Diceros bicornis minor: one gene and its partners. The protein of the gene in region 3 interacts with the protein of the main gene of each other region in a pairwise test. Links are inferred from orthologs where the notes say so. Each region holds a gene or a part of one and is shown on either strand. Other genes may lie near its edges.

Region 1 (3,744 bases), on a different chromosome or scaffold from region 3:
TGTCATTTATCACAGATGTTGCCTAATTCATCATTTGATCAACTAACTCTGAGAGTACATATTAGCCCTCTGATCATCAAAATTAAATAGAGATACAATAATAGCTATAGATTAATAGCAGATAGAAAATATAGTGGCAATATATGTATAGACGATGTATAGATCGTATCGGTAAGTGGTTTGTGGATATTGAAGTGAACTATTTCACACCATTAATCAGCCAATTATCTGGACTGCTAAATAAAAGCAGTGACATGAGACTTCTACACAAACTATCATGACAGCAATGGCTGGGAGAGACCTGAAGGTATGGCTCTCCCACCCTGAGAGTGAGCCTTTAGGAAGGATGGGAGGTGTGGCTAGAAAACCTGATTCTGAATAAGACAGACAAAAATAAATGTCTGCCTGTACTATGCTTCAGGCATTTAGTGAAACTCAGAAAAATACACACATGCACGTACGCACACGCACACACACCGCATTCTGACACTATCACAGCATCACCTTACAAATACTTCCACTGAGAGCATGACAAGCCCTTTCAAGAGCGGGGTGCATTCCAAAGCACATTTCAAAAACCCACCTCCATCTATCTTCATATAGAACCATGACTCTGATTTAGTCATTTCTAAATATTTGTCATGGCTGCTAACATTCCCATTGAGCCTCCCCTTTCCATGGCAGGAGTATTTTCCCTCCTGGAAAAGATTGCCTGGGAGATGCTGAGAACTCCTGCATGGATCCTATAAACTTGTCCTTTTCATGGCAAGAATAACCTCTCACTCAGAGTCCCTGTCTTCTTTCCTGAGTTGTGTCTAAATGAGCAAACCAATTTAACAATCTAGAAGGAGGAAACATCGATCTATTAAAAAAAGAATATTGCACAGAGAAAGTGTGAGAACACTGACTACCTATAGCATTCTATTTATTAGGTACTGCTGTTCAAACTGATTCATAAATAACATGAAAGAAGTGAATACAGGGAGCAAATGATCAACTAATATTAATAATTTGATTAAATCCAACTGAGGCTTATCATCTGTAGAAATGCTCATTAGGACACTCTTCTGGTGGGTAACTGGTGTAAAACACACTCACACACACACACACACACACACACACGGGAACTCACAGAAAAGGCATAGAAATGTTAGAAGCAGATGCATCATATAATATGTTACCAGTAGGCTCTTGGGAAGTGTTTCCTGGCACAATTTACTTAATGAGAAATGGAATAAAACAATATTTAAAAAGATAAACCAATTTGTTTCCAAGATATTAAAACAACAAAAAAGGCTGTTGGCAAAAAGACTTGCAACAGAAAATACACCTAAGAGCGATTTTCTGGAGGCAACCAACTTGATAACAAATTACCCAAATGTTGGAAACAGAATATTGACGTTTTATGAACACATATATTCCTGTAACACAGATTGAAACTGAGGGTCTTCGGAGAAGGAGGCCCCTCTGAACACTCGTAGAGGAAGTTTAGTCAACCCCAACCACACACAGTTAACAAATGGTGCTCTGGAAGGGAGTCCATCGAAAAACAAATAAAATGTCTACAATCACTGTTAACTCTTCATGCAGCAGGGTGGTTGATCCTAGGAAGGGAGAAGGATTCCCATCGGCATGAGAAAACCCTCCTATCCCTGCCGGTCACATCCGCAGCCCCTGCCCAGTGAGGCAGAGCTGGGCTTGTCACTCCACAAGGTTCCCAAGCCCAGGAACCAACTCAGCCTGCAGCCCTACTAGTAAAGAAGGAAAGAGAGACAGAGAGGGTCCAAGGGAAATACCCAGAGAAAGACAGAGAGAAACATAATGAATGATTCTGAAATGTACACAGAAGGGAATATAAACACAGAATCCCTGGCAAGACCATTAAAAGGGAATAGAGGAGAAAAAAAAAGCCTTTACACATGCCAACAAAGACAGCATCCCAAACTGCTCGCCTTCATCACAGCACACCAGTGAGTTTGGAGGCAGATTCTGGGGCTGAGACACTCCAGAAACCCAAAGGCTCCCATCCCAAGCGGACTGAATATAGCACAACCCAGACAAACTTAAGAAAACAAAAATACGGAGCACACGTACACACACACATATGTTTTTCCACTCCCTATTAAAACAGCTGAATTAAAACTCCAGGCACCCAAGTGCCTCCACAAAGATCCAAACTCTTAGCATAACTCTTAGCATCAAAAGGGTCTTAGACTCAGATCGCCACCGGACGCACTGTCACGAGAAAAATGCGAGGTAGGAAGATGCAGTTTGCAATTTTAAACTCCCTGTACCCAAGCTCAGAATCAGGCGTTCAAAGTATTCATTGAGGTGTAAAAACAGCTCAGCGCGGGGTGTCTGGGCTCCACAGAGAACGAGGGGCTCGGTCCCACCCCTCCCGTCCAAAAGCATGAGCCCCTTCCCCAAACCCCTCCAAGGTACCAAAGCGCAACCCAGCGACGCGGGTACCGAGTTCGCCGAGCCCCGGAAAGCAGCCACCGAGGGAAGACGCGCGCCTTACCTGCTGTAAGTACATAAAAGTCAAGGCACACGAGAGCTGGGGACACATGCCCACGTTGGGGAGCGCCACGCAGGTGGCCCCCGTCAGAGGATGCTGCATCGTGTCTCTCTGGCGCCCGCCAAGCACGACTGGGGACGCTCGCATGCAATCACGCCGCTCTTTGCCTGGTCGCTACAATTTTTTTTTTCTTTTTAATTTTGCTGATTATCTAAGTCAAAACCCGGTGGCTGTCTTTCTCCTCTCTCTCTCTTTCTCTCTCTCCCTCCCCGCTGCCGCACCCCGCGCGTCCCTCCTCCCTCGCTTTCCTTCCCTCAGGGTTTGCTAGATCCAGGCGTTCATCTGCCTCCAACTAAGACACTTGAGAGGGCCAGGAAACTATTTTGTTTCCTTTGTGGCGCTATCGTTTCTCTGGTTTATTGGGCCTACTTTCTGATGCCCCTCAAAGTGGAAGGTGCCCCCCACTCCACGCCCCCGGGAAGATGACAAGAACCGGCAAAGGCAACTTCTGTGAAAGGTAGAGGGGGTGGATGCCCTCCTGTAGATGCTGAGTAGAGGGGGGGGATAAAGCTAAGGGCGAGAGAGAGAAGGAGGGGGAGAAAGGAGGAGAGAGAGAGAGAGAGAGAGAGAGAGTGAGAGAGAGAGAGAGGGATTTTGACTCACACTGAGGCTCACTCGGCTGGTGCTGATGCTGCGTGCCTTCTCATTTGTCAAATGGGTCCAGGGGCAGGGTTGTTTTTTTTTTTTTTTCCCTCCCCTTTGCCTTTTTTATTTTTTTTTTAAACGACTCACCAAAATTCAAATTGTGTCTGCTAAAAATCTCCGCGGGGCGGGTGAGGAAGCAAGCGAGCGCCCCACATCGCCAGCATCCAGGCGAGCTGGACAATTACTGCGATTGCCCAGCTGGGACCCGGAGTCTTAGATTTTGGTGGCGGTTTGTTTGCCTGACTCGTTGGAAAATAAACACAGAAATGGGATTCCCCCTCGTGAGAGTGCTGAGACGATGCTAGGGGCTGGGGGCAGGGGGGGCTGGGGCTGCAGGCGCCTGAGGCAGGGCGGTTTCTGGGGGTCCCCCCACCCCCAGCAGGGCGGCCCGGCCGGCGATGCACCCCCAGGCGTGTGGGGCGCAGCTTTCGCTCTGCGCCTCGTCTTGGCTGGGCAGGCAGCCGCGAGCACACCTTCCAGCCCCTGAGCCGCTGAATGGGAGAAACCGCCCTGGCTGGCGT
Region 2 (3,744 bases), on a different chromosome or scaffold from region 3:
CTAAAAGTGATGATTACGTCACAGAGACAAAACTGAGGATTCTCGGCAGTGAACAAAAGGTCAGACAGAGCTGAGGAGCCACCAGACCTCCCGGGAGCCGAGCACGCAGAAGGCACCAAAATTCACACATGCGGAAATGCAAAGGGCGGCGTCACTAGGTCGTGGCTCCCCGTGAACTAACGCGGCAGGATTCCAACTCAAGTCTAGGTGCCAAACTAAGGGGCCCGGCTTTTCGGGTGGGGCCACAAGGAGCCCTCTGGACTGGGCAGGTTTCATAAGCTTTATGACACACTTATCCACAACCCTGTGACTCATGGTGGAAATGGGTCCCGAAGACTTTTACAGAATCTGAAATCCACGTGCACAAAGGCACTAACGTCAGCGTTATGGCTCACAGTGAGGACGTGGGGGGTGGCGACTGGTGGGCCCAGGCCTGGGCAAGAGGGCAGGGGGCTGGCCCCTGTAGGAGGTGGGTGGGAAAGAGGAGCCCCAAGGGGCTTGAGGAGGGAAACCCCCCATTGTGGCTTTTGCTTCCAAGGGGAAGCGTTCACTTGCCAGAGAGGTCAGGAAACCCCAAACCCCAGCCCTAGTGAGAATGCCCCCAACCTCCTGAACCCTCCCCAACTCCCATCCTCATCTGGGGAGGAAGGGACCTCCCCCCATCTCCAGACCTACCAGCTGTGGGCGTCCCTGGCGCAGACAATTCTGAGGACTTCACCTCCCCCATGCCCACGGTCTGAGGGGGCTCCCCATTGCCGGACACCCTGGCTGGGGCAGAGAAGCTCTCCCAAGAGACCTCAGCGGGCCTGGAGGTGTGCGACTGCTCTGCATGGCTGCTCTGAGATAGCCAGGCCACAGAGCCAAAGCTGGAGGCTGGCTTGCGGCCACAAGGCAGGGCGGGGAAGGGAGGCATGGCTGGACGTGGTGCTCTGCTCAGGATCCTGGGGATAGATGGTGGTGGGCCCAGGTACAGGGTCCTCTGCAGGGCGGACGGTGGGGGCTGGGCGCAGCGTCAGCAGAGAGTTGGTCAGGTGGCCTGGGCTGAGCACAGGGTCGCCTCAGTTTGGCAGGGCCGGGCTACATTTATAAGCTCAGGAGAAGGAGGGTTGGGAGGCAGGTCTGCATAGATGGCTCAAATCCCCCCCCAGATAAGTAGCACCTAATTGCCTTCAATTCAGAGGCACAAAGGAGGCCATTCGCACCTCCCCCGGCTCCAAGATGTCTGGGGAGGGGCGGGGCTTCGGTCAGCGTTAGGGGAGATTGGGGGAGGTTGGGAACTCGTTACATCCTTTCATCTCCCCCACCCCCACCCGGCTGGCCCAGGCTGCAGGAAGGTGAGGACGGCCCCTCCCACCCCAGCACCCTCCCTGGGGGCTTGTCCTATGGGGTGCCAGGTCATCTTCTCGCTCCAGGTTGGTCCTCCAACCTGCCTCGTGTGTCTGCAGTGCCCGCGGTGAGGGAGAGTTCGCTACAAGTGGGGCGTCAGCATCGCTGCTCGCAGGACACAGTGGGCCCGGCCAGGGCGGGTGTCTGCTGCGTCCAGGCTGTCCAGCTGGGTAGGAATGTAGGGCAGGCATTCCTGGAAGGAGACTGCACAAGCCAGACAGGGCGGGGAGGGGCTGTGCAGAGAAGGACCCTCCGCTCTGCAGGCCCTTCTCTCTCACCATCCACCGCCCCCGCCCAGCCCCTCTGCTGGGTTTCACTCGGTGCCCCAGGAGCTACCTCCAGATTGGGGTGACACGAAGGGGGGTGTGCTCGCTCAGGGCGTGAACTCAGCTGCAGCCACGCGACATCACTCTTCCCACGCCCCAGCTGCCCCCATTGGGGCTGGGCAACTGCAGAGCCCCCGGGGGACGGTGGAGCCCAAAACTTAAGGAGGGTGTCCTCGAGACGGTCACCCTGTCCCCGCGGCCGCTTCACTCCTGAACTTCACCCCTGAACTGGCCTCGTCCGCGTCCGTCGGGAGGCGCAGGCAGCCAGGTGCGCCACGCCGTCCGCCCCAAGCCACGGCCGGCGGTGCCTCCCCCGGGCCTCCCCACAACCTTCGCGGGAGAGCGTCAGTCTCCTGCACGCGACCCGGCAGACGGACACGTGCTGCGGAAACCCACCCCGGCGGGCCCTGGGCGCCCCTTGGGGCGCGGGCTGGGGGGAGTCCAGGCTACGGCCCCGGCGGCTGGAGTCGGGTGCAGCGCTAGTCCGGACCCGAGCGCGCGGCTGGGCTTCAGTGCAAACGGATCGAGTCAGCAGCCTCGACCCCCGGGGACGCCGGCGCCAGGCTGGGAGGGGCAAGGACGACCGCCCGCGCCCACGCGGCCCGGCGGAGATCAAAGGCCTGGCGGCCTCGCCCAGGATTAGCACCCAGACCCCGCCTCCTGAGCCTCTCGGGCAGGGGAGGGGCCGGTGATGATGTGGGAGCCGGACCCCCGCGGGCACAGCGGGGAACCAGGCGGCGCTGACCGCCCGTGCGTGTGAAGGGCCACAACGCCGCTGACCTGGGCCTTCCTCCCGCCCCTGCACCAGCCCAGTTAGATCACCGGACCCCGCAGGGGGAGGCTGGGATCTGAATCACTGGCCTAGTGTCCGGTGAGGTGTCTTGTACGAGAACTGCAGGGTGTCCTGGAGGTGGACAGTGAGGTCCCCTCGGGTGCGCGTGGCTCCAGGGCTTCCTCCAAGGACGCCCTGGGGCAGGCTGCTAGCACCACTGCGACAGGGGCCGTCCAGCTAGCTGGGGACAGAGGCCGAGCTGGTGCAGGCCTGCGCAGAGCTCCTCCGGGACAAACGGGGGTGGGAGGGTACCTCACAAACCGGGCAGAGGGAAGTAGCCCCCCCATGGCTGCTCAGTACGCACAGAACAGGCCGGAGAGGCCTCCTCCGGACAAAGGAGCATTTGTTGGAAATTACTGCATTGTGCACTCAGCAGCGTTAATTCGTGAAATGTCAGCCATTCAGGTTCTGGTCTTTGGAAAGTCTGCTTTAGCGTCTCTTCACCTCTGATTTTTCCCGCCGGGTCCCCTGGCCTCTTGGCTCCACACCCGCACGTTCCTCAGCACCCTCCTCAGCTCTGCCCAGCCATCTGCTCCGTAATCAGGGACCCTCCTCTAACGTCCTCCGGCCTCCACTTTCCCAGCTTCCTTGCCTACACCCTCCCCTACCTGAGTCCCACTCCAGAGTCCAAGGTGACCCCACCTCAGCAGGTCAAGTAGCCTCTCCCTCCTGTGTCCTCCCCTCCAGCTCTGGCTGCTGCCTGGTGTGATCCCCTCCTCCCAGCGGCCCCTCGGTCATTCCCTTCAGCACTGCCACGGGCTCAGGCCCCTCTCCCCTCACCCGGCCGGCCGTGTCCACTGGGGTCTCCCCACCCCTCCCTCCTGCACTGTGGGCCCCTCTGTCTCCGCCGGCTGCTCGGGCCAATGTCACCCGTGCCTAGCCTCAGCTTCCTCACTTGGCCTCGGAGCAGCGTCTAGGGCTCCCCGGGCCTGCTCCTCCCCTGGCTCTGGGACCCGCGCCCCCGGGTTCGCTGCCCCTCCACCGTCCCTCCACCGCCTTCCCCGAGACCCGGGGATTACACGCGGGCGTGGCCTTGGCGCTCGGCCGCTGGCTCTACGTCGCGGCACCTGCGCGCCGGGGGGGCCGCCTCCCACCTGTACCCGGGCGGCACGGGCGTGGTGGGGGTGGCGGTGAGTGGGTGCCCCCACTCCTCGGGCGTTCTGGCTGCCCCGCCCCCACGTAGTCCGGAGCCAGGCTCCC
Region 3 (3,744 bases):
AGAATAGCTCATTGTGTTCTACTCGGTTGATATCTACACGATTATGATATCGTTTATTCATCTAAGTCAGTGGTTTCCCAGCTCTTTTCTCAGTAGCAAAACTCTTTTTTCAAACGCAGCCTTTACTTAGAACTCCAGTAAGTAAAACCCATAAAAGCCAAACAGCTCTGACTGAAATGGGCATGGGGCCCAGCAATCAGGCCACTTGACTCTAGGGTGGCCTCTGAAGCACCCTAGGGTCTATGAGCATAGTGTGAAAACCCCAGACTGAAGCCAACAACAACAAAAACCCCCGAACCCTGAGAATTACACTTAGGGACAGCCTCATTTGTATAATGCAGCTCTCCATTTCCTGTCTCTCATCACATTTGATCCTCATTATCAGCTCTGAGGTGGACAAGGCAGGGCATATCATCCTCAATTTGCAGATGAAAAAATCAAGGCCAAATGGAGTTAAGCAACTGGCCAAAGGTGCGCCAGGTCGCTTTTCGGCCAAGTGCGAACTGGAAATAGAGGCTGTCTCCATTAACTCAGTGTGACCTGGCAGAGATGGTGCCATCTACTGGAAATTGCCACTGCCCCTTGTTCCACAAAGTGGACAATCAACTCCTTGGCCATTGAGAGCTGAGCACAGCCCCACGGGCCCCCTGACAAGGGCCCATCCCAGAGCAGATGGCAATGGGCAGGGGAGAGGGACTCAATACCACTGGAGGGCCGGACAGTGGGATTTTGGCTGCAGAAAGGCCATTCCCATCCCAGCCATGTCTTGCTGAGCACAGGGCAGGGGAGGCAATAATAGCCAAGGTGCCTTCCACCTTCATCTGCAGCAAGTATGTGAGCCTGAAAAGGGACGGCAGGTCGTGCAGACCTGGGCGGCAGTTACCCTTTGCCTGTCCTCTTGCTCTTGCATAGAATTCCCTGAAACCAGACCAGCTGATAATTGCCTGAATGGTTCCCCTACTCCAGAGCATCTCTGAACTGAGCTGGAGCATGTGTTAGAACAGGCAACACTTAATTATCACTTAGTCTTTAATTACCACTTAATTATTAACACTTAATCCATCTGTAAAATGGGGACACTAATACCTGCCTCCTAGGACTTCAGGAGGATTAATTAATGCTGGCAGCCCTCTTTGAAGATGCAAAGCATTGAACAAATGCTCAACAGTGACATTAATAACCATGGCGGATTCACTTGCTTTTCCTAACGAGGTCCCTCCTTCCTCTCCTTGTAAATATCCATCTCCAACAATATCTGTCCAACTTTGCCCCGGCGGAGAAACACTTAGCTCTGTGTTTCCCAGACACAGGATTTCCCAACTAGGAAATGGGCTATTTACAGCCATCTTCCCGCACGTTAATTTTCTATTATGTCCTCTGAATATGTCAGTGCCTTCCCAGTAAATATTTTGATGTGTGCTCTTGCAGCAGCTTCTGTGGATGCTGAATGGGACAGCTGCTCCCTGTATTAGGGAATTCCAGATGTGGTTTAAAACCACCAGACTCATCTGTGCCAATGCCTAGCCTTTGGAGGCAGGAGGGGGAAGGATCTTTTAGTTGCCTTGTGGGAAAACTGTGATATCTAATGCTCAGCCCTGACTAAGGTGGTTTTTCAAGGTTCTCAGGTCTACATCTGAGTTGCCTATGACTTAAGGATGAGAAATGTCCCCTTGTGGGCTGGTGAAGAGGCAGCAAAAATTCAGCCCTAGTCTGGCCTGTCACCCAAGTAACTTCAGGACCCCAGTTAACTCTCCCATAAAAATTGGCCAAAGGACCATGGGGGTGGAGAAAAAGTATACAGCCTTTAGGGTTGAACCAGACTAAACAGTGGGCCAGAACATTCCCCCAGAAGGTGAGACCTCATCTCCTCCCTCCTCCTTTGATGCCCACCATGTTGGGGGACACTCACTCTTCTTGGAAGCTGAGCACGTTGTCTCCTGGAGTCCCAGCCATGGGGGCAGAGAGCTGCTCCTTCGAGGTCCTGGGCTGCAAGGCCTCGGGCAGGCCCTGGACTCTCTTCCAGATTTCATGGCAAGTCTTGTCGAGGCTGTCTTGGGGCGTGTCCTGGTGGATCCAGATGTATCTGGGGAATGGGCCCAGGGCAGAGGGGCGCTTGGCCACCAGGGCCGACGATGAAGGGAGCCCATTCCCACTGGCCATCCTCCTCCTCTCTTTCCGGAAGCCCCTTTGTCCACCCAGGGTTCGAAGACAAGGGGACCATCCACCACCACCCCTCATTCACCAAAAAGGGAAATGAGGATGGGGCAGAAGCAGGTTGCTCCAGCAAGATGAGTGTGCTCAGAGGCCTTCGATTTGTGTGTGAGTGGTGGATGGAGGACAACTTTCCTTTGGGGAGAGGAGCTTATTTCGATTTGCTTTTATTTGCTCTTTCCTGACTTTTGCCCCCCTCCCCCTCTCCCTTAGAAGAAAATATTTAAAAGTCAACAAAAACCAGTAGCTTAGTAACCGTGGAATCCCCCTGAGCTCAGGAACCAGGAGCCTGGAAGGGCAGGATGACATCTGGGAACAGCTGGAGGGGGAGGGCGGGCTCTCCCCACGGTCCCTGGCACTGCCCCGTTGCGACAGGCCCGTGACACCTTGCGGCGCCTGGGGCTCAGCCCATTCTCGCCCGCTAAGCCTCGCGGAGGACCGGGTGAGCGCCTGGCGCTGTGCTAGGCACCGTGCAGGCCGGAGCCCTTCATTAGAGTCTCATTCGGTCTTCCCAGGGACGCCCGCGCGCTCCGAGGGCCAACGGCCCCCGCCCCGGCCGGCCGGGCAGGCTGGCTCTCCCCGCTGCCCCTCCCGGCCCCTGTCCAGCGCCGCTCGGCCGCCCCCGCACGAAGTGAGCCGAGCGCACAGCCGCTCGCAGCCCCCGGGGTCGGCGCCCCCAGCAGGCGCCTGCCGCGCCCCCCGCGCTGGCCTGGGACTGGCCTGGGAAGGGTCCCAACGCCTTAAAAGGGTGCCGTCTCGGCGAGGCGGGCCGGGCCGGGCGGCTTGGATCGATTTGCGAGCCAGTGGCTCCCACACCCTTCCCGTCCAGCGCTGGAATTCCTTCTGTGGGTTTCAACCGCAACGGCTCGGTGCGCGGGGCGCCGCGGGTTCGGTGCCCCATGCCCTCCGGCGGGGTGGGGGTGGGGGCCCGGAGGACCCCAGAGCGCCTTCCCCTGTTAGAAGCCGAGGGCGCCGCGCCCCGCCTCGCTCCGCCGCCACTCCGCCCAAACCTCAGCCCTGCGGGGCCCTGCCCCTGGCTCCCCTGTTTTTACCCCAACTGCCATTTCACTGGGCGCTTACCCTGTGCCAAGTGCTGGGCTTCCTGTGTGGTCATGTTGAATCCTAACGAGCTCATGAAGTTAGTACCATTGTTTATTGTCGTTGTCCATTAGAGGAAACCGAGTTCAGAGTCCTAAAGGGGTGTCTCCACGGCCCACAAGGAAGTGGGGAGCTGGGATTCAAACCCGGGCCCACAGGCCTGATCCCGCTCTCAGCCGCTGAGATAGACCGTTCCCCCCTGCGCAGAGGTCAGCGGGTGCCGGGGTGGGCGGCGCGGTAGCAGGGGAGGTCGAGGGCCGAGGTGCAGAGAGAAGGGCTGACTTAGGGTTTGCTGCCCAGCGGGCTCCCCCCGTCACTGGAGAGGCTCCGTTAATCTCGGAACTGACCCTCCGCCTGCCCGGGGCTCTCTGGCCACAGGAGTCAGTGGTTGTTCCTCCGGTGTTTCCCCAGAAAAGGAAGAGCAAGAGGACGGGA

The links. The genes of interacting proteins can lie anywhere in the genome.
Region 1: the proteins of C13H1orf94 (region 3) and RBFOX1 interact in binary tests that used the Homo sapiens proteins (3 or more experiments, as listed by UniProt). The link is inferred for Diceros bicornis minor from reciprocal best matches to the Homo sapiens genes C1orf94 and RBFOX1.
Region 2: the proteins of C13H1orf94 (region 3) and VENTX interact in binary tests that used the Homo sapiens proteins (3 or more experiments, as listed by UniProt). The two-hybrid records come from large-scale screens. The link is inferred for Diceros bicornis minor from reciprocal best matches to the Homo sapiens genes C1orf94 and VENTX.

The regions. Positions count from the first base shown.
Region 1 is NC_080765.1:41,860,471-41,864,214, forward strand, and holds the start of RBFOX1 (RNA binding protein fox-1 homolog 1), read right to left. Parts: upstream 2,621-3,744; coding exon 2,522-2,620; intron 1-2,521. UniProt on the Homo sapiens protein: RNA-binding protein that regulates alternative splicing events by binding to 5'-UGCAUGU-3' elements. Regulates alternative splicing of tissue-specific exons and of differentially spliced exons during erythropoiesis.
Region 2 is NC_080745.1:95,298,018-95,301,761, reverse strand, and holds the start of VENTX (homeobox protein VENTX), read right to left. Parts: upstream 2,188-3,744; 5' UTR 1,723-2,187; exon of another isoform or gene 1,591-1,722; 5' UTR 914-1,590; coding exon 676-913; intron 1-675. UniProt on the Homo sapiens protein: May be involved in ventralization.
Region 3 is NC_080752.1:48,636,908-48,640,651, reverse strand, and holds the start of C13H1orf94 (uncharacterized protein C1orf94 homolog), read right to left. Parts: upstream 2,239-3,744; coding exon 1,910-2,238; intron 1-1,909.